Saccharomyces cerevisiae S288C: one gene and its partner. Changing the gene in region 1 together with any one later gene gives a genetic interaction. Each region holds a gene or a part of one and is shown on either strand. Other genes may lie near its edges.

What was found.
Region 2: mutations in AIM14 (region 1) and YOL029C together harm fitness more than expected from each alone (negative genetic interaction), as found in Saccharomyces cerevisiae (one large-scale study listed by BioGRID).

Annotation. Positions count from the first base shown.
Region 1 is NC_001139.9:195,888-206,655, reverse strand, and holds AIM14 (putative metalloreductase), read right to left. Parts: upstream 6,096-10,768; coding exon 4,383-6,095; downstream 1-4,382. Other genes in the region: YGL159W (uncharacterized protein), read right to left, coding at 2,823-3,935; YIP5 (Yip5p), read left to right, coding at 6,514-7,446; SUT1 (Sut1p), read right to left, coding at 7,619-8,518; DNA-dependent ATPase RAD54, read left to right, coding at 10,253-10,768. UniProt on the Saccharomyces cerevisiae protein: Probable cell surface metalloreductase. May be involved in iron or copper homeostasis.
Region 2 is NC_001147.6:265,342-274,902, forward strand, and holds YOL029C (uncharacterized protein), read right to left. Parts: upstream 5,080-9,561; coding exon 4,474-5,079; downstream 1-4,473. Other genes in the region: OPI10 (Opi10p), read left to right, coding at 88-828; SIL1 (Sil1p), read right to left, coding at 923-2,188; GAS5 (1,3-beta-glucanosyltransferase), read left to right, coding at 2,846-4,300; YAP7 (Yap7p), read right to left, coding at 5,292-6,029; ribosome-binding protein MDM38, read right to left, coding at 6,662-8,383; MIM1 (Mim1p), read right to left, coding at 8,671-9,012.

The DNA of each region.
Region 1 (10,768 bases):
GTAGCCCACTTAAAAATCTTCTTCTCGGAAAAAAAAAATGAAATGCCTTGCCGGGAAGGTGCTGATGCAGGAAGAATTTCTTCATGGAAGGGCACTCCTCATCCAAAAGGTTTCTCGAAGAAATATTCTATCATATCCGGAATTTCTTTTTTTTTTCCACTGATTTTTTTCTGCTAGAATTGTTTGCCCCTCTCCGCAGGGCGGGGTCTCTTACATGAAAAAAATCTAGATTCGTCACACACAGGAAAGGAAATCGACTATTTAATTACTTCTATAAAATTTAACTTTCATGCAAGTCCCCTAAAAAAAAAAAACACTACAAGTTTGTAATTCCCTTTTTTTATGTACAAGATTTTAACGTCATTTTTCACAATGTCGCCGTATAAAGGCGATTTTTCTGCATTTTTAAGGTCAACAGGTATCTGGACCTTCCATTGTTTTTCCGCTTCGATTGTCAAGATTGTCAATTTTCGCAATTTTGATTTTTATTTCCGTTGCTGTGACTTTCTTCTTCATACTTGAGCTGCATTGTTCTTTTCTCCGCTCTCATTTTTTTTTTGTTTCCCCTCATTATTTTCTTGCATAGCAAAGTGAGTTGGAACTACAAAGTTTTCACAGTCTGAAATTCCGTGAATTTAAAAATAAAAAATCAATTTTTTCTTACACGTAATTGCAGAAAGAAAGTATACGTAGTCACTAAAAAGCGGTCATATATCAGGAAGTTCTGGTCTCCCGTCTAAAAATAGAACAATGCGTGTTCCAGAAACTTAATTATGGGAGATGTAACAAACTTTATTACATGTTAAGAAAAGCCGAGTTCAAAGTATTAACCGGAAGAACACCAATTTCTTCAATTTTAAAAGCCAGAGCGCCGTACCCGATTTCTTCTCTTAAACGACATGTTCAACCAACATTCTTTTACATGCAGCAAACAGGCAAAAATGAAGGTCTAATTTTTCTCGTCTTTAGTCGGCTTCAAACGCGGGTAGCTTGATCACAGAACCAAAAAGATAAAAAATAATGGTTGCTAAGAGATTCGAACTCTTGCATCTTACGATACCTGAGTATTCCCACAGTTAACTGCGGTCAAGATATTGCTTGAATCAGGCGCCTTAGACCGCTCGGCCAAACAACCACTTATTTGTATGTTTCGGTTCTACTAATATAGGTTGGAATCAGTTAGGTATTATCATCTTAAGCGTACAATTCAAAATGTTCACAGAAGAAACCCTTGTGCAACAACCTACAGCGAAACAAATAATACTGGGTTATTTAGCTATAGTTCTTTTTTTCTTAGATGAACTGCTCAAGTGAGCGATGTCGATAATTGAAGGCTAGAAGATAGTATAATCAAAATTAAATAAGGATCTTTATATACTCATATGAGAGAGGTATAAAACACCCACACTAATTGATTTATTATTGCTTACGAACAATATGATAGTAATTCCGGTAGTTATCATACACTCAATGTGGGGACTTATATTGCTCACGTATATAACTGTCATATCATATTCAACTAAAAAATCTTTAATTCAGTATTGTTTAACCGCTAGTGTAACATTTCCTTCTGCAATTGTTTACACTGTCATTTAACGGTACCCATGGTGTACAACAATATGTAGTATAAGCATTTTTGGATTGTTAGCATATCAGTACATGTAATATTAATGATCTTTTTTTCTGAACAAATGAATATTTCAATAGTTAGTTTAGATTCAACAGACCGTGAGATATTGGCCTTTATTTAAATACACATTGGTTGTGATCATCAAATTTGATAATGAGCCTTTGTTTCTTCCGGAAATAGTTAACGATTACTTTTTTTGAATTAATTAGTTGTTATTCATCTACAATGTAATCTCTAGTTATTAAGGACGCTATTCTATTCAGTCACACCAATTTATTTAATTTAAATGTAAGCTTCACCAAGCTGGACGACCTTTTATCATTTTAAGAAAAACATAGAGATTGAACATAAAACTGAAAAAATTTCGAAGGAACAATAGAAATCTTCGGTTTTCTTGTTAAATCACTGATCATATTTTTGGATTTTTGAGGTGATCTTCTGGAATATTCTGTATATAATTTTCATTGCTTTCGTCCAAAAATGGAGTCTCGAAAATTTCCATACAAGCCTACATCTTTTTAATAATCAGCGGCTATCGAGGTGGAACATAAATATGGTTAAAAAACAGGAACATTGTTTCGCCGACATCAAATAGAGAATAGTAAATCTAAGAACTATAACCCTATGACATTTGTCTATTTTCCATATGCGCGTTAATGAAAAATAACTTTAATATTGGCTATGCACAGATCGACAGAGAAAAGTCACCAGCCTCTCTTTAAAATATGGCAAAAATCTTCATATCTGTTCAATTCTTTTTCTATTGCTAATTTCTTGAAATACATGTTGAAAATTGCTCCTAGCTTTCGTTAGATTGATGACGGTTATAAGAATTATGGTATTATTCATGTAATTAAGTCATTTTAAACTCTATATCCGTAGCGCGAATAAATGGTCCTAACGTGCTATACCGTGGAGGATAGACACCTGCAAACAGTATACGGTAATTGTTTCTCCCTTCATAACACTAACATTGCCTTTTTTTTTCTTTCATATTTTATGATGTTGTTTTCTTTCTGCACTTTACTTTTATTCTTTTAATAAATATAAAAAATTGCAAAATTTCTATCAAACTGCTCATATGTAAACATCAAAAATCTCTTCCGGATCGTAAGATATTAAAAAAAGTATCATATTTAAAAACACTTAAGAACCCTTTTGAATATAAAAAAACTAGAAGCCAAGATGCAATTTATTCCTTGTTTTCTGTGTTTTTTGTTCTCAAGCTTAAGAATTCCTTAGCAAGCGCCACGTCCATAACCGCTAGACCAACAATTTTACACAAGGTGATAGTTCTTTTGCAGCCCTTTTCGTTCAAATTCAAAACTGTGTTTTTCAAAGTATCTAATTCACCAATTTCGATGAGATTATGTGGAGCGATATTGGAATCGATTAATTCTCCAGATTCCAATAAAGTATGTTCCCTTGAATCTACCAAAATGCAAGCGCTTTCATTATCAGATTTGAACTTATCAATCAACTCCTTATCGCATTCGTGCATCACTGGTTTGTAACTTCCAATTAATGAGATATAAGTATGTTTCTGCTCCACAGAAGCTTTACTGTTTAGCAACTGCCTCAAAAACAAGTTGGGCTCTAGAGTAGGTAGACAACCAAAGATAATATCACTGTTAGAAACAGCGCCATTACCTTCTGAACTGATGTCGTTTATTTGATACTGATTAAGCTCTATCTTTATATTACTTCCAAATAAGTTTTTCAATGATTTCAAACGATCCAAACTCATCATGTTATTGTGATATAGTATGTTTATTTCAACTAACTTCAAAGATTCGCCAACAATCCCTGACATGATTAGTTTAATAGCTATGTATATGTGCCAAAATGCTTGGAGACCGGTACCAAAACATGTTAAATAGCAAGTGCCATTTTCAAATCTAAACAACTTATCATGGGAACATGAGAGTTGCTTATATAAACCGATACACGATGCAAGGGCAGTTCTTATAGCGGTAATTTGTTTAGCCTCAAAACATCCGATTAATTTTCCTGTTTCAGGCTCAATAACATTTATCACACCTTGAAAATTTTTGTTGTTGTTATTCACAAGAATTTTTATTCCTGAAAAATCCTTGCTCACAACAGGCATGAATATATGGGATATGTTAGAGTCTGCATTGGTTTCATCCAATTTTTTGAACATCCTATTGAGCAGTATCTCATGGTTTTGAGAATATAATCTCAATGACTCGTGCAAGCTGAGAAGAGATTCAATAATTGTTTGAGAAGAGCAGTTTAAGTAAAACTCTCTAACCTCATCATCAGTAATTATGGAATTGTTCATATCAGTTGAATCAGTTGCCAGATAACAATAGCTAAAGAGATGATAGATATCAAAAAGAGCCGATAACGTTGGCCAGTAAATTATATTTGATTTTTAGAGGACATGGCCACAGGCCGAGCTTTTCGATCCTTTTTCCTACTGCCCTCTTGAAATATAAACCGAGAACAACAAGAAAAGAAGCTTTTTGCTAATGTAGCTCCCAATTTTTTTGCAGACAGCCTCCATTTTAAAACGATCATCTCTAATATATCTCCATTTACCGATTAATAATGCGTACAACCTGTCAAGTGTATTCTAATAGCCGCGCAAGAAAGCATATAAACTAAAGGTCATTAAAAAACAGATATGTATTTTTTGTTTTCTATATACTATAAATTAGCATCTAATGTCGTGGAATATCATTTCCGAGCATATTGCGTAAGACATTATTATTCTTTTCTTTTCCCCTCATAATCCGTAAGTCTCACAGACAAAGTTGATCCTTTCATCGTTACAATATTTTTTAGACAATTGTAATAACGAGGGAGGACCACATGAAAACAACCATGTTTCATTTTGGTTCACTTGTGCACTTTCATTGTTGAAGCTCTTCAATTCGTTGGAAAGAGTAAAACTGTGTTTGGATTTTACCTCGATCATGCTTCCATTCTCTTTTGTGGGGCTATGACTTGTCTCTGGCGTATTGTCATTGCTGTCCGCATTTTCTGAATTGAAATTAGAAATCGAAAGGTCTTCGTCTTCATTGTTGAAAGATCCCATTTCATATTCTGAGTTTTCATCGTCGATATTGGTCGTAATTTCGTCTAACCGTGTTTCCGCCGTGTATTCTCCACTAATAAATACTGAAATCCTCTTATTATTCGAGAGTTTTTTCTCAAAAGTCAACCCATTTGTCTTGAGATAATCCAAAACAAGTTCATATTCAGAGTAATCTTTTATCAGCCAGATCATTTTCAAGTATTTTACATTCTCCTTGTTAAAAAAATGCCTAAATAGTGGTAGGGCAAAAGATATACCAGACCCACCACATATAATAGCTATATTCGTGCCTTGAGAATAACATTCTTCGGGTACAGAGGGAGGATAACTATTAATCAAAGTATAGGTTTTTTCTTGATCTAAATGAAAGGATTTTGGATTACTACGAAGAGACTCTATCTGGCTACCTGGCTCGGCTGTAGAGGTTTCCTTTATAATAAGATCAATTGAATTGTCTTCTGCCAAAGACGCAATTGTGTATGGATGCGATGGTAGCAACCAATAGAGGGGATTAATTCTTCTGTAAGGGCTTATTCTAATATGCGACCCTGGTTCAAAATAATCTGGAAGAATAGCCCTGGGCAATCTTACATGGACTAAATTTGTTTTTGAATAATTCGCATTCTTATTCAAAATCATCAAGGATTTCGCAAATACTATTCTATTGATAATATGAATGAATAATAGGGTACAGTTTAGTAGAAGAAATGGGAACTTAACACCTGGCCTAGAGTGTATTGGGGTGAGTAAGATGAAGGCCACGTTCACCAGGTTATGTACGATGTAAAACAAACGATAGTTGTATCTTCTCATTGGCCCAATCGAGCAAATAAGTAAAAAAAGTACCAATATTGATATTATGAATCCCGCAAAATTGAAAGTTTTCAGAATCAATTTTTGCTTTAGAGAGACATTATCGTCTATCGCCCACTTAATGATGAAGAAAATCCCATGAAGCAAACCAATCACGGTGATAATACGTGAAAACCATTTATGGAACGGTATAAAATCAGTGTAGGTGCAATTTTTCCTAAGGAACCAATTAGGCCTTAAAGTGAGGAATAGGTTCAGCGGGATCAAGGCGTAACTCAACCTCCCTAATCTTTTGAGATAGACCGTAGATTGGGTAGTCAAAGAGTAATGGTAATAAAATGGAATCAAGACTGCAAAAAACAATATACCTAAGTGAATTGCAGGATCTATATCATACAACCGATAAATTATCTTATTTTTGAAAGCTGACGACGATCTGGATGGGGTTCTCCTTCCGAAAGCTCTCAAAAGAGCCAATCCAATGAGATAGACCAATGATATTATCAACACATAATACCCATACTTGATATTGGCAAAATGTGTCTCGGAATGTCTTTTAACCAACGTTATGAGAGGGGATTCTTTCATATTTATTGGAAGGCTTACCAAATTAGAAGTTTCTGGCGACGAGATATGGAAAATGTAGTTTTTAAATAACACGTCTACAATATAAGGAAGGAAAAGTCAAAATATTTTAGCGCCTTTAAGTGCGGTTGAGACCCCATAGTAGTATCCCTACAAATAATAGTTAAACTGTATTTTCAATACATAACGTAACAGTATATCGGTATTACGGAGCAGCGATCAATTAAACGCTATTTACCCGGCTGTGTATTATACCTAATTTCTCAAGCAGTGAAAATGTATCAACGTCCTACGCTCAAGGTAAAAGGGGCCAAGGGCAGCGACCACATTGGATCCAAACGCATTGGTTCTGTAGTTCTTTTTTACGCTTCATCCACGATTGTATACTAGCAAATAGGATTGACTCGACAAAAGCAGAAAAATGCCGTCCAATAATAGCAGTTTTTTAGATATTGACGATGATCTCGAGGGTGTAGATGATTTTGGCAACGAGCCCAACCCATTTGATGATGCCACCGTACCTGATAGCCCAAACATGAATAACTCGACTGCTGGAAAGGGTAGCGAATTTTATAACACAACGGGCAGTAAGGCAGAATCCGCACCATTACAGGGTCAAATGGACCCACCAGCGTACGACCAAGTGATAGGACAGAATGACAACGACGGTCTTGGGCGTAATGGATTGAGGCCAGGATTGATAAACTACTATTCTAAATACTTCCAGATCGATTTGACGCAGTTCAAAAAGAGATTGTCCGCGGTACTGACGTTTAGAAACGATCATAATTCCGAAAGTAACGAAGATAACACTGATTTATACGGTGCTGTATGGATCACTGCCACGGTGGTAATGATCAATTTTACCATGAGTAGGGGGTTAAATTTTATTATCAGTGACGTAATTGAGGGCGTCAAGACTGGTGAGGACATCGACAGGGCCAGTCAGTTTAAGAAGCTACTGCATTCTATTTGGCTATTTTACGGGTACACGTTCGGCGTACCATTTATTACCATGCAAGTATTGAATAGAGATGAGCACTCGGAGCGCAATAGAAGCTTCAAAAGTGTTCCTGAATTGATTTCCGTTTACGGGTACGCTAACTTGATCTGGATACCCGTTTGTGTTATATTGAATATATTGGATATGTCCAAGCGCCTGAGGACTGTTCAAGCAATTCAATGGGCAATTGTGGCTCTTGGGTGGGCACAGTCGTCTTATTTCTTGAATTCTCAAATATCGAGTAATAATAATACGGAGACACAATCGAACGGGAAATTTTCGCTGTCCATCATCGTTGTCGTTGCGCTGCATACTTTATTCTGTCTATTGTTCAGGTTTATAATATTTTGAAAATATGCGCACGTCTATACACACAATACTTTTTATGACTAGTATCATTGTATACTCTTATTATGTAGGGTTATACATGAGTGTTTATACGTTTTCTGTGTGTACATATATATCCATATATGTTAATGCTAAATGCAAGTTTTGTGATGCTATTCATTAGAGATGCCTTTGTCTAAAAATCAATGCTTTTATAGTCATCATAGGTTATGTCGTAAATGGTTTTATCCTTAAATTTTAAGGAGATTTTGGATGAAATGTTTATGTCAGCTCTGGTAAAGCCTTTTGAAAAAGTACATTTATCATTTTTTGGGAAATTAGTGGAAGAAGAAGAATGCTTTTTCTTAATGCATGGTAAACAAGGTGTGAGCAAAACCAACTTATCAATATGCTTAATCAACTTGCGTGAGCCTGTACCCTCAATGACATCATCCGGTATGGCAATATTCCGCAACAGCGTGCCTCGATATAGCCGAATATCGTCAGGAGTCAAGACGTACCGCAACTTGTTCGAGATCATTGGCATTATAGTATCGTCTTGAAGCAAAATCTCAATTTTCGCATTACATTTTATTTTTTTCAAACGACATTTGTCACAACTTGGGCCACTTCTTTGTCTCTTGGAAATTGAACTAGTAGATGTGGCAGAGGAGGTTGTCGAGTTGCTCGTTGAGCGCGAAATTATAGACATTTGAGTGCATGACGCATTAGCGTCTTCATTGACCATGGAAGCAAGAGCATGAGGATGATACTCAAACAATGGTGGAGTGTAATTTTGTGGAGGGGGAACAATCGCACTTACGGGGAGCGTTGGCGGCGGCGTCACCGTGGCAATACCAATAGCGCACTCATTACTGTCAGCGGCAGCAGGCTTTAATCTCTTATAGCCTCCTAAAAGCTCGTCAGTCGGAAAAGCCCGCTTCCTCGTCCAAGTGGTCGACAAGAGTTCTGGATCGGTGATGCCCACATTTTGGGTGCCTTTACGCCGTATATCTTTTTCTAGCAGGGAAACATTGGGGAGCAATAGCGGTGGTAGCGATCGATCTCTATTTCTTACTGTAATGCTTGTGGACATCTTCTTTTGACATACGATGACCTCAATGATTTAGATTATGTGTTGCACTTTTATAGACCTACCAAAAATCCAGTGCGTACACTAATACTTTCATAAAGATACCTGAAACAATAACCAGAAAGATCGGCAAAAAAATTTTTTTTCTTTGCCGAGATCACAAACCTACTATGACGAAAAAGCTTGAAGTTTAGATGAGTAAGGAAAATACAAGTGACGCTTTTATATGGTGCAAGGAACAAAAACTAAAAACAACAAGGCAAATGTGGATCTGTCATGTATGGCAACGACAGCAGGATGGCTCACAAAAAAAGACAAAAAAAACTAAGGCAAAAGAACAAAGCTCCTCTCCTGCTCAAGAAACGTATTGTTGAAAAACCACCGTCGTAAGAAAGTTTTTCTGTGACCTATAATGGTTTAAAATCGGCCCATTTTTTTTCCCTCTTTTGTGGTCCAGTCTTTCTCATACTCGAGGGAAATTCGACACAAACAGCGGAGAAGTGTGGCTAAACCGGCAAGTGCCTGCAAGATCCACAGAACTAACCGCACGAACTGGCGGTCAGAAAAGAGCCTGTTCCGGAAAGAGAGAAACAGAGAAACGATCATGATGGGAAAGCGGGGATTCGGCGAAGAACGAGACTGGAAAGGGAAAAAGAGAAATACTGGTGGAAGTATTCGGACCTTTGGCGAAGTCCGAACCCTTGAAACCCAAAGATGATCGATGATTCATTTTTCAATGCGCTACGGTTCCTGCCGCTCGTGGGAACCCCACGCAAAACATATTATTCGCTTCTCTCTGCTGACAACTCCGGTTTACGTTATACCGTATTAGGATCACTATAAGGGTTCCTTCGGGAGGAGGGGGGAGGGGAAGAATGTACATCGTCATAAGGCCTTTATGGTGTGAAGTGGGTTTTGCGTGGAAAATTCGTTTTCAATGATATAGAGCCCACGCATATACGTACATACTAGTGGCCAAAAGCGTGGGGTGGGCGGACAAAGCTACACTGGTAAAATACAGGATTCTATGAACAATAACAACAACCAGCTCACGTTGCTGAACAGCCGAGGTCAGCCGATGCAACCGAGGTTTCCAAAGTAGCATTTCTGTGCTAGCTATGTCTGTAGGTTTACATTTAATGGTGCGTGGTTCCAGCTTCATGTGCTTGCATGTGATGTCCTGCAGATGGTAAGAAGATTCTGAAAGCCGCGCTAGGAGAAAAATATTCTGCTCGAAGATCTGTCCTCTTAAGTAGAAAGCGTGAAATTGTTGCGTTCTTGCATTACTACTCAACGCGTACGCAAATGCGTCTACTGCACCTGCATGATAAAGCTTATGTATCAAAAATTTAACATCTTGAAAATACACAAGTGGTGCAAAGATGTGTCACGTTCTGGACCTGAGTGGTGCCATGTATGCTATTTAACATGCAAAGGGGAAGACCCTTCCGCCTTACTGCAATAATAAAAAGTATTTTACGCGTTACCCAATATAGCAAAGTTTCGCGCAAAAAAAAAAATAAAAAACAATTACAAACAAAAAGAAAAAAAAGGAAATAATAGAAGATCTAACTGAAGCGAAGGCCAAAACTCTTCTCACTTGACGTAATAGCCGATACAAAATCTAGAGCAGCAACTTTTCTCTTTCTTCACTAAAGCTGCTACGAAAGTATAGAAAAATCAAACGCTCAGAACTTAGCTCTATTTCAAGGTACCATATATATTTCCTTATAACTGATGGCAAGACGCAGATTACCAGACAGACCACCAAATGGAATAGGAGCCGGTGAACGGCCGAGACTGGTACCTAGGCCTATTAACGTACAAGACTCGGTGAACCGACTAACGAAACCGTTCAGGGTCCCGTACAAGAACACGCACATCCCGCCCGCTGCTGGTAGAATCGCCACCGGGTCTGATAATATCGTAGGAGGAAGGAGCTTGAGGAAAAGATCAGCGACTGTATGTTATTCCGGCTTGGATATAAATGCGGACGAAGCAGAGTACAACAGCCAAGACATAAGTTTTTCTCAGTTGACTAAACGACGGAAGGATGCTCTTAGTGCTCAAAGGTTGGCCAAGGATCCGACAAGACTGAGTCATATCCAGTACACTTTGAGAAGATCTTTCACTGTGCCAATCAAGGGATATGTACAAAGACACAGTCTGCCATTAACGTTAGGAATGAAAAAAAAAATTACTCCAGAACCTCGACCTCTACATGACCCTACAGACGAATTTGCCATAGTGCTT
Region 2 (9,561 bases), on another chromosome or scaffold:
CACCCTTTAAATACGAAAATAAGTGGTCTAATAAATTTGCAAATTCGGAGATTGATAAGAAATATTTGAGTGAGAGAAAATAAAGAAATGTTTGCTGCAATTGCCTCAGGAAATCCATTGCAACTATCGGTAGAAGTCCCCAATTCAAATGGGTTACAGCATACAATTGTCCTTTCTCGAACGAAACCGAAACTATACTCGCATATAACACTGTTTATATTACCTAATGTTACCTTTCCTCAGGATTATATAGCTACAGTCTATTTCAAACTTAGCCCTCAGGAAGAATTTAAACTATTTGGGTACCTAAGCAGTGAGAAACCCAGTGCCATATTCAAAGTGCAAATACCGAGCTCGAAGAAAGACGCTGGAGATACAAGTGATGGATTAGGTGAGATAGACATGGATGTAGATGATGGTTCGGGGGCCGCTGATCCGTTTACTGACACCAATGGAAGTAGCAGTAATAACATATCAGAATTGATTATTGGTATTTCCATTGAGCCTCGAGAACAAGGAATGATGAAATTAGAAGAGTGGAAGGCCAGCATGAATGCCGAAGCACAAAAGAACAACTCATTGATCTTGTCAAGACCTAACTTAGGAATAATTCGAAATATTACCACGGCAGGGCAGTTGGCACAAGTTTACCCTTCATTGACACAAGAATTGGCCGCCAAAATCGTTCAGCATGCATATAACTATTTATCAGGGTTCCTAGATGCTCAGGGAAACGTGCCCATCAAGAGGTTTGATACATGGTGGGACAAATTTAGAAATAGACTGGCCAACGACGGGACGTTTTTGGATGAAGTAACTAAAAATTAGACACGGATATATAATATATCTCTAATAAGATTCACGAAATATTAATTGAAAAAAATATTATTAATATTAAACTATATATGCAATGACAGTGAAATCAGAGTTCATCTCTGAAATTTTTTATTCTATGAGCCATGGGGTTGCCAAAGATCAAGTGTCTGCTGTCGATAAGTTTCTTATCAAATGAGTCTTGTTCAGTATCTCTCTCTTGGAGCCCATTGTCCAAGTTAGATTGCCTGGCTTTACATTGTTGCGCTAACCAATTCAAAAACCCTTTGTTGATCGTGATGTCACTTTTGAAAATTTTCTTCAAGTTGTAAAGGGTGTCAAAAAACGTTCTTGTATGTAGTTCATCTATACTTTTGTTCTGGACCATCTCTTGGAACTCGTTTGCCCACTCTTGCAGATTTGACGACCAATTCTCAGCATTTCTTTTGAACAAAATTAGATTTGTATCGTCATTTTCGTACATGTCGGCCTTCAAAATTTTGCTGATCAACTCCAGGACTTTTATTTGTAACTGTTTGTCCTTGTTGTTTCTTTCATATACATTTTGTAAAACAACCGTAGAGTATATAGGAAGATCTTCGGATGTGACAGGTAATTCGTTTAAAATGGACAAGTATCTTTTTATTAGGATATTAGAGGATCTGTGGTTAGAATCATTCAAATTTGACAGAGCGGCCATGATTTTGCTTTTAAAATTTGGAAAACTTTCATTAATGAACTCGACTACAGGAGGATTGTTTCTCAAGCAGCTGGTAATGACTCTAGTACTGAGCTCTCTCAATGTTAACGGCAAATTTTCATTGAGACTAAGGTTGGCCAAGAGGGCGAATTCATGGGTAATAATTTTGTAGCCGTGCTTGTAATCATGCGCAAATTCCATTATTCTATCAAAACTATCCTCCAATCTGGCAATGTCCTGTGAAGATAAAGTCGGGTTAGAATCTATGATGTTTCTCATTTCTTTGAAATCACTGGAAAATTCATAGTCACCAGGCGATGCTTTCATGTCTTCTGAAGATACAATTAACTCATGGCTACCATTATCACCGACATTCTTCTCATCATTTAGTTTTGCCTCTTTTAAACCTGTGTCCATGTTTATTCTAATGTCCAAACCACCGGGGAGTTCTTGACCTGGCAGTATGGGCTGCCAATCGTGTCTTGGTTCAAATATCTTAGGATAGCAACGATTATCAACGCAGATCGAATTCCCTGAAATTTCAAGTTCTTTAAGATCTTCTGCAGATATGATTTCGCCTCCAGATGGCACTGAGTGTATGGATGAATGCAATATTGTACTCGCCACTAATTTCGAAGATAGGGCGCTCAAAATTATGGGAAGAATCCGGACCATTCTAAGTTTGCGTTCTTGGAAGTGATATTCAATATCGAGAACTTCCAGCGATGCGAAAACTAGTCTATTATAGTTGCTAATGTGTGCTCTATCATTTACGTGGCCTTTTCACATAGTCTGGTCTTTCTTAATTATCACAATTCCGTTACCCGAAATCTAATCTCGTGTTTAGCTTCGATCTGCGGACGTTACTTCTAACGTCCAGAACACTTCACCCGCTATTTACGTTTTGATCTAGTTGCGGCCTCCAAACCTGCAGATGAATCGTTCATTACATTCTTGCTGCCACTAGTTGGCCGCTGCGTATACAACAAGAAATATACTATGCATTTATGTAACGCGCTTTAGTCAGTAGCCTCAGTAATGCCTTTTCTAAGGTCAGTATGTCAATATCTCTCGGGTGAACCCCAACATTGTTGTTCTTTCTTCGTTGTTTCTCTCTCTTATCATCTTCTGTGTCTTTGCTTTCTTTTGTTCACAATTTCTCGAGAAAAAAAACTCCGCAGGAAATTTTTCACTTTTATTTTGCTTATACTATAAATAGGAAGGTCCCTGAACTGATTTGTTGACAGTGTTGCATTTCGTATATAAAAGTAAACAGTGGGCTGTAACAAACATATTATATATCACTCGCTACACACACAGCTCTAAATAGCTATGTTACTACGTTCTCTTACAAGTGCCTTCGTTTTAAGTGCTGGTTTGGCTCAGGCTGCTAGCAGCAGTAACAGTTCCACACCATCCATTGAAATTAAAGGCAATGCATTTTTTAATTCGGAATCAGGTGAAAGGTTTTATATCCGTGGTGTTGATTACCAGCCTGGTGGTTCTTCTAACTTGACTGATCCCTTAGCAGACGCATCTGTCTGTGACAGAGACGTCCCCGTTCTGAAAGATCTAGGGATAAATACTGTCAGAGTTTATACTGTGGATAACTCGCAAGATCATTCCCATTGTATGAAACTATTGCAGGAGAACGGTATATACTTGATCCTGGATGTCAATACCCCCACGAGTGCTATTTCTCGTTACGATCCAGCCTGCTCCTATAACGCTGACTACTTACAAAATGTCTTTGCCACCATTGATACCTTTGCTGATTACGACAATGTTCTAGGTTTTTTCGCTGGTAACGAGGTCATCAATAGTGTTAATACTACCAACACTGCTACTTATGTCAAGGCAGTGGTCAGGGACATGAAGAAATACATCAAGGCTAGAAAATACAGACAAATTCCGGTAGGTTACTCGGCTGCTGATATCGTCGCTAACAGACAATTGGCTGCTGAATACTTTAACTGTGGTGATGAAGCTGACGCTAGAATCGACATGTTTGGTGTTAATGACTATTCTTGGTGTGGTGAATCTTCATTTGTGGTATCGGGTTATTCCACCAAGATGAAGCTATATCAAGATTACTCCGTTCCTGTCTTCTTAAGTGAATTTGGTTGTAACCAAGTCAAGAGCTCTCGTCCATTCACAGAAATTGAAGCTATCTATTCCACTCAAATGTCTTCTGTATTCTCCGGTGGGCTAGTCTACGAATATTCCAATGAAACTAACAATTACGGGCTCGTTCAAATTGATGGTGACAAGGTCACTAAATTGACAGATTTTGAAAACTTGAAAAATGAATACAGCAAAGTATCCAACCCAGAAGGCAATGGTGGTTACAGTACTTCCAACAACTATTCTACATGTCCTGATTATGAAAAGGGTGTCTGGGAAGCTAATAACACTTTGCCTGCTATGCCAAGTGCTGCTTCTGCTTACTTCACATCTGGAGCAGGTTCTCCTATGGGAACCGGAATCGCCACCCAACAAAGTTGTGATGCTAAGGACGATGACGACGAAGAAGACGACGACACCTCCTCTTCATCCTCTTCTTCCTCTTCATCTTCATCTTCCGCTTCTTCATCTTCTGAATCATCATCCTCGACTTCAAAGGCATCTTCCTCCTCCCCTTCTGCTAGCGAAACGAGCTTGCTAAAATCTGCCGCATCTGCTACTTCGTCCAGCCAATCGTCCTCGAAATCAAAGGGTGCTGCCGGAATTATTGAGATTCCTTTGATATTCCGTGCTTTGGCAGAACTTTATAACTTGGTTTTATGAGTTTTCACCCCCGTTCTTTACCACATTGTTTCTAATTATTCCGTTAGCGCCGCTTACTTTTAATGTTCTTAAGATAAAAAAACATCATTAATATTATTATTAAAAAATTCATATATATACCTATATCTATATGCACTATTTATGCTTCCACTTTTCTTTTCTTTCTAAATACATCATTCCAAGACGTTTTTGTCCATCTTATGTAATGCATCCTTGATGCTTTGCAATTCTACTTTCTGTCCACGAACGTGCAATCCAGATGCAATGTTCTCTAACGCTGATGAGATCGAAGTTGAATCCTCAGGATTTAGTTGTTCTTGGATACTTTTATTTTTTTGCATATGTTGACGGATTTTTTGATATGTGTAACTGATCGGCAGATACCTCTTTGCATCGGAAGCCGCATTCATTTGTGCATTCTTGCAGGAACATATTTCGGGTAGCTTGATTGAATTGTAATTTACGTCAGTTTGTTGTTCATTTAGATCCGGTGACAACGCACTGTTGGAAGAGAAAGAGCTTGAACTACATTTATTCGAAAGTGATTGACAAAAATTCCTACTATGGGGGTCTGATCTACATTGCTTGCAGCTTCCAGGTATCCATGACCCATCCTCTTTAGTGATCGGTCTATTCTCGCTATCGTAGATTTCTTTGTCTCCACAGCATTTCGATATTGATTTCTTAGCATCGGATTCTATTTTCTTTTCTGAACAGCAAACGGGGACTAAGGATGGCATTATGTTATTCTTTTGGTTGCAACATGTTACTGGTTTCATGGCATCTTTATTCCTACAACATTTTATTTTTTTGTTGCCACTGCCTGCACATGCATTGATACTGCTGCTGCATGAAGACAGAGGTGAATTAATATGGCCATCAAGCGATGAATTCGTTGAACTAAACTGTCTGCCGCTCAGATATTGATAATCGTTGGCTATATCAATCTCAGACAAAGACTGGTCTGTTAATACCGCGGGCACATGAGATGTTAACAATGGGCCTTCAGCTTTCCTTTTTTTAAACTGACAGCGCCGATTGGTTTAAAGTTTTCTACCATTTCTAATATCGAAATAGGATTGTCTGGCGGGTTTTCTGGCTGCTGTTGAAATGGAGTATTAACAATCAAAGGCAAGGCTTTTTGCAATTCGTTGTTTAATGCTATTGATTTTTGCAAGTTTTCCTTTGTATCGGAAAACTCAGATTCCAGCAGTTTATATTTCCTTTGCCAATCATCGACCAAATTGTGTAGCATCTCAACCTTCTCTTCCAGAACCTGGATTCTTGTTGTTCTGCGTTCCCTATATGCTCTTTGCGCATCTCTATTTTGCCTCCTTCGCTTTTCCACGCTATCGACACCGTTTTCATCACCACTTCCGTTGCCTTCATCATCAGATTTCCCCTCATGACCTTTTGCGCCTTCGTTCTCATGATCTTTTGTGGTCATTTGGTCTTTCTGGTTGGAAGTTTGAACCTTCTTTATCTTGGACGATCCATCATTATTAGCTGATGCATCCCCGCGCTTGGATTTCGGTTTGCGGCCCGGTTTTAGGCGCTGTGGTAACTCCCAATTCTTGGATAACTTAATAGCTGACGGTCCTGATGTACTCACATTTCCATCTGGTGAGGATGGAGGTGGAGACGTCGTAGACATGGAACCCTGTTTATGCCCCAATTTGAAGCCTTTGGGCTTTACGCTAACTGCTACTACAGACCTTCGTTGTCTCATGATCCATTGAAAGTGTGCGTAAATGACAAAATTTTGTGCCTTTCTATATTCTTTAATTGATGATTTACTTCCTTGATAACGGCTCAACAAACGAAGAGCAATTTTCAAATTTCAAAAGAAAAAACCGTTGAAACTGTTCTTGAGCAACTTTCAAGCCTCTTATGATGATGTGCTACAGATTGAAGTACAGGTGAAAAGAGGAATAACCAATAGCCTTGTTTGCTTTCTACGGTGGGGCAGCGGATTTTCTCTTTTATGCTTATGCTTCTTCTTCCATATATTACTAATTTTTCTCGAGCGAGCAGCTTTACTGCGTGCATTACCGATGAAAAAAATCGCCGATATATGAAAATCCAGCTCATAAGATGCTGATTAAGGAGTCATGAGTGAAAGGACCCTCGTGGCCATCACAAAAAAGACACTTTGCTCCTGTATAAAAAAAAAAATAAGGCGGTAGTTTAGATAGGGTGTCTATTATATACATGCATAATAATTTAGTTTTGAAGGGTCGCTGGTTTTGCCGTGACGTACGCTTCTCTTTGATCTTTTGCCATTGTTGTCAGAGAAAAGAGAACCGATTGACTTTTTTTTTTTAGTTTTTTTTAGTTTTTTTCTTAGGCTTTGATCTAATATCAATCTTTCTTAATGACAAAAGTCTTCGCAGCTTGATCGGCCGGAATGGGAGGTACAGATTTTGCTTCTTCCTCTTCATCTAGGTTGATATCATCTGGCACATGCTCTCTCGAAGCTCTTTGCTTAGCTTCCTCTTCCTCCTTCTTTATTAGTTCTTCTTGCTCCTTCAAAACGTTCAATTTGAACTCGTTATCGTCGGATGTCTTCTTTTCTTCAGCTTCCGTGGCTTCCGCAGAGTCGGTAGGCTCTGCGTTCTCTTTTTCCTGAGATATTTCCTCTGTCTTCGCTGTTTCTGCCTTTTCATTAACTACGACTAGTTTAGGAGTAACCGCAGAAGCGGTGGTAGCTATAACAGACTCTTTTGCGGTGGCTTCTTCCTTCGGTATAGCAGTTTCCTCGGGTTTTTCTTCCGTCTTTATCTTCTTTTCAGCAACTTGCTTTTCAGCTTCAGTTTCAGCAGCGGATGATTTCGATTCAGATACATCTAGTTTTGCGACGTTGTAAACGGGATCTGGAATGGAACTTAGCACTTGTAATATACCGTCGTAGTACAGATCCAAAAGGTCGTCATATTTGCTTTTTGTTTCTTTTTTTTCAGCTAGTGGCGAGAATGCCTTTGAATAGTTCTCCTTTGGAAGTCCTCCAAACGTGAACGTGGAACTCAAAACCATCAAGACGGATGGGATTTTTTGTCTCAGTCTCAATTCTAGCCAAACTTTTAGATTATCGACCAAGTCCTCCTTGGATACACCGTACGCTTTCATACCACGAGACACACAAGCTTGATACAGCTCTTCTTGCGATAAACTTTCAACGCCTTCGTAGTCAATAGTTTTATCGTCGTTCATTATATCCTTTAGTTTGGAACGAATTTGGTAACGAAGCATGTTATCGTTACCAAATGGCCTTAGTGACATAAACTTCGACATTGCTGCCAATTGTGGTCTTGACAAGTTATCCAAAACGCTATCGTTTTTGAACATTTGCGCAATGGCGCTTATTTCATCGTGTTGGAAAGTCATAATCTTACCTTCCTTGGCAGAATAAAGCTTCCGGAAAAAATTCAAAAATTTTTGCTTCTTCTCTGCATTTTCAATGGTGTTGTAAGTGATCAAATTGGATTCTTCCAAAGTCTCATGCAAGAATTCGGATGTCTTTTTTCTGATCTCGATGAGCTTATTTCTCTTGGCTTGCTTATCCTTGCCGGATTCGTAAGTGGAGGGTAGTAAGTTGGGGAAGAGTTTCAAAGCGAAAGGCAAAAATAGTTCGGCGAATGGAATAATAAGGAACGCTGAAAAAGGGATCAACCTAAACACATCGCCCATTGTCCTCCTCAATTGGTTCCTCTCTCTTCTAGACAACTCGTAACCCTGAGCAAATTTAATCAAAAGCTTAGTAGAAACTTTGATTTCGTAACCCAAAAGTTTCGTCCCATTAGCATAATGTTTCAAGGCGTGCTTCACTTTGACCATAAGCGTCTCCTTGGGCTTGGCAGGAGCATCGGTGGATGTTGGAGCTACGGGCTTCGTAACACTTTTCGACTTATCAGTAGAATAAAATCTCAAAGATAAAGGATAGTTGGGCTGTACTCCTTGCGCTCTCAAAGGCCAATGACACGAGGGAATAGTGGAAGCTATTAATCTAGGGCCTTGATTTTTAACAAAATACAAGCTTGCTTGACGTCTTGTCACACATGACGCTCTTGATGCGAAATTCAACATCTTAGTATATTATCTGTAGTGATAGAGATAGCGTATATTATGCGCTGCCTGAAATGCACTGCGCTGTTCATATTCATCACCGTGGCAATGACTGATCCATTTATTTGGAGATGATTCAACGAATAATTTTTCACCGCGGGATTATCGCCCAAGACGGGGTCGTTTGAGGGTAATACCGTGGCTAGCTTTATGGCTTGTGAAACTATTGCCAGTTATGTGGTTACGTATAATCTACCGTATGTGTGTGTGTATTTATTTATGTAGGTTGCTAATGCTTTGGTGATCGTTTAAAGGAACTTGGACGCAACCCTCCCACGGGTGCCAGGGCTTGAAATCTCTTTCAATGCTGCTATTTTGCGCGACTCTGGGTACACCTTATACCCCTTGTTTCTATGGTTAAACCAATTGAATCTCCAGCAGAGCTCGTGAGCAAATAGCTCGCCGAAGCCGAGCATCATGCCGTTGAGGAAGGGCAAAAGTAGGTTGATGGAGCACGAGCCTACAAAGGATACAAGGCTCTGCACAAGTGGGCTCTCGTCGGCACTCACTGTGTTCTGCACCTCCATACAGTCTTTGTCTTCTGATTCGTCATCTGACACGCTCTCCCAGAATCCCACAACCTCTGTCATATTTCTGTCTTGTGGCAGTTTCGTAAGAAGGGGGGTGATGTTTCTAATATTACAGTGATGTTCTATTGTTCAAGTAAAGTGTATGGCTGTTTCTTATGGCGCGGAATATACCACTTCGTTATAAGTGATTACATCTCGTAACGCATTCCTCTTGTTCAGTGGTAGGGGAGGCCGATGGTAGTGGAATAATACGCTTTTATGGGCCATTGGTATTACTATTTATCTTCGTTATAATAAATAGTACACGTTGCAGACATATTTGGAGGAGAGTTTTTAAAGTACTGTTGGGGTGCTCTTGCTGTGCATTGTAAGTAATCGTGTCCCAGTGGCCGAGTGGTTAAGGCGATGCCCTGCTATTTCCTCAGAAAAGCAATTAGGCATTGGGTTTTACCTGCGCAGGTTCGAATCCTGTCTGTGACGCATTTCTTTTTTGTGAATTCTTGCTTCTTATCCTTCTACAATCCTTTCGTGACATTTATTGAATCATCTCTACAAAATTTTTACACATAGCTAAGGTTAGCTTGTTCTACATTACACAAGTGGTAGCAA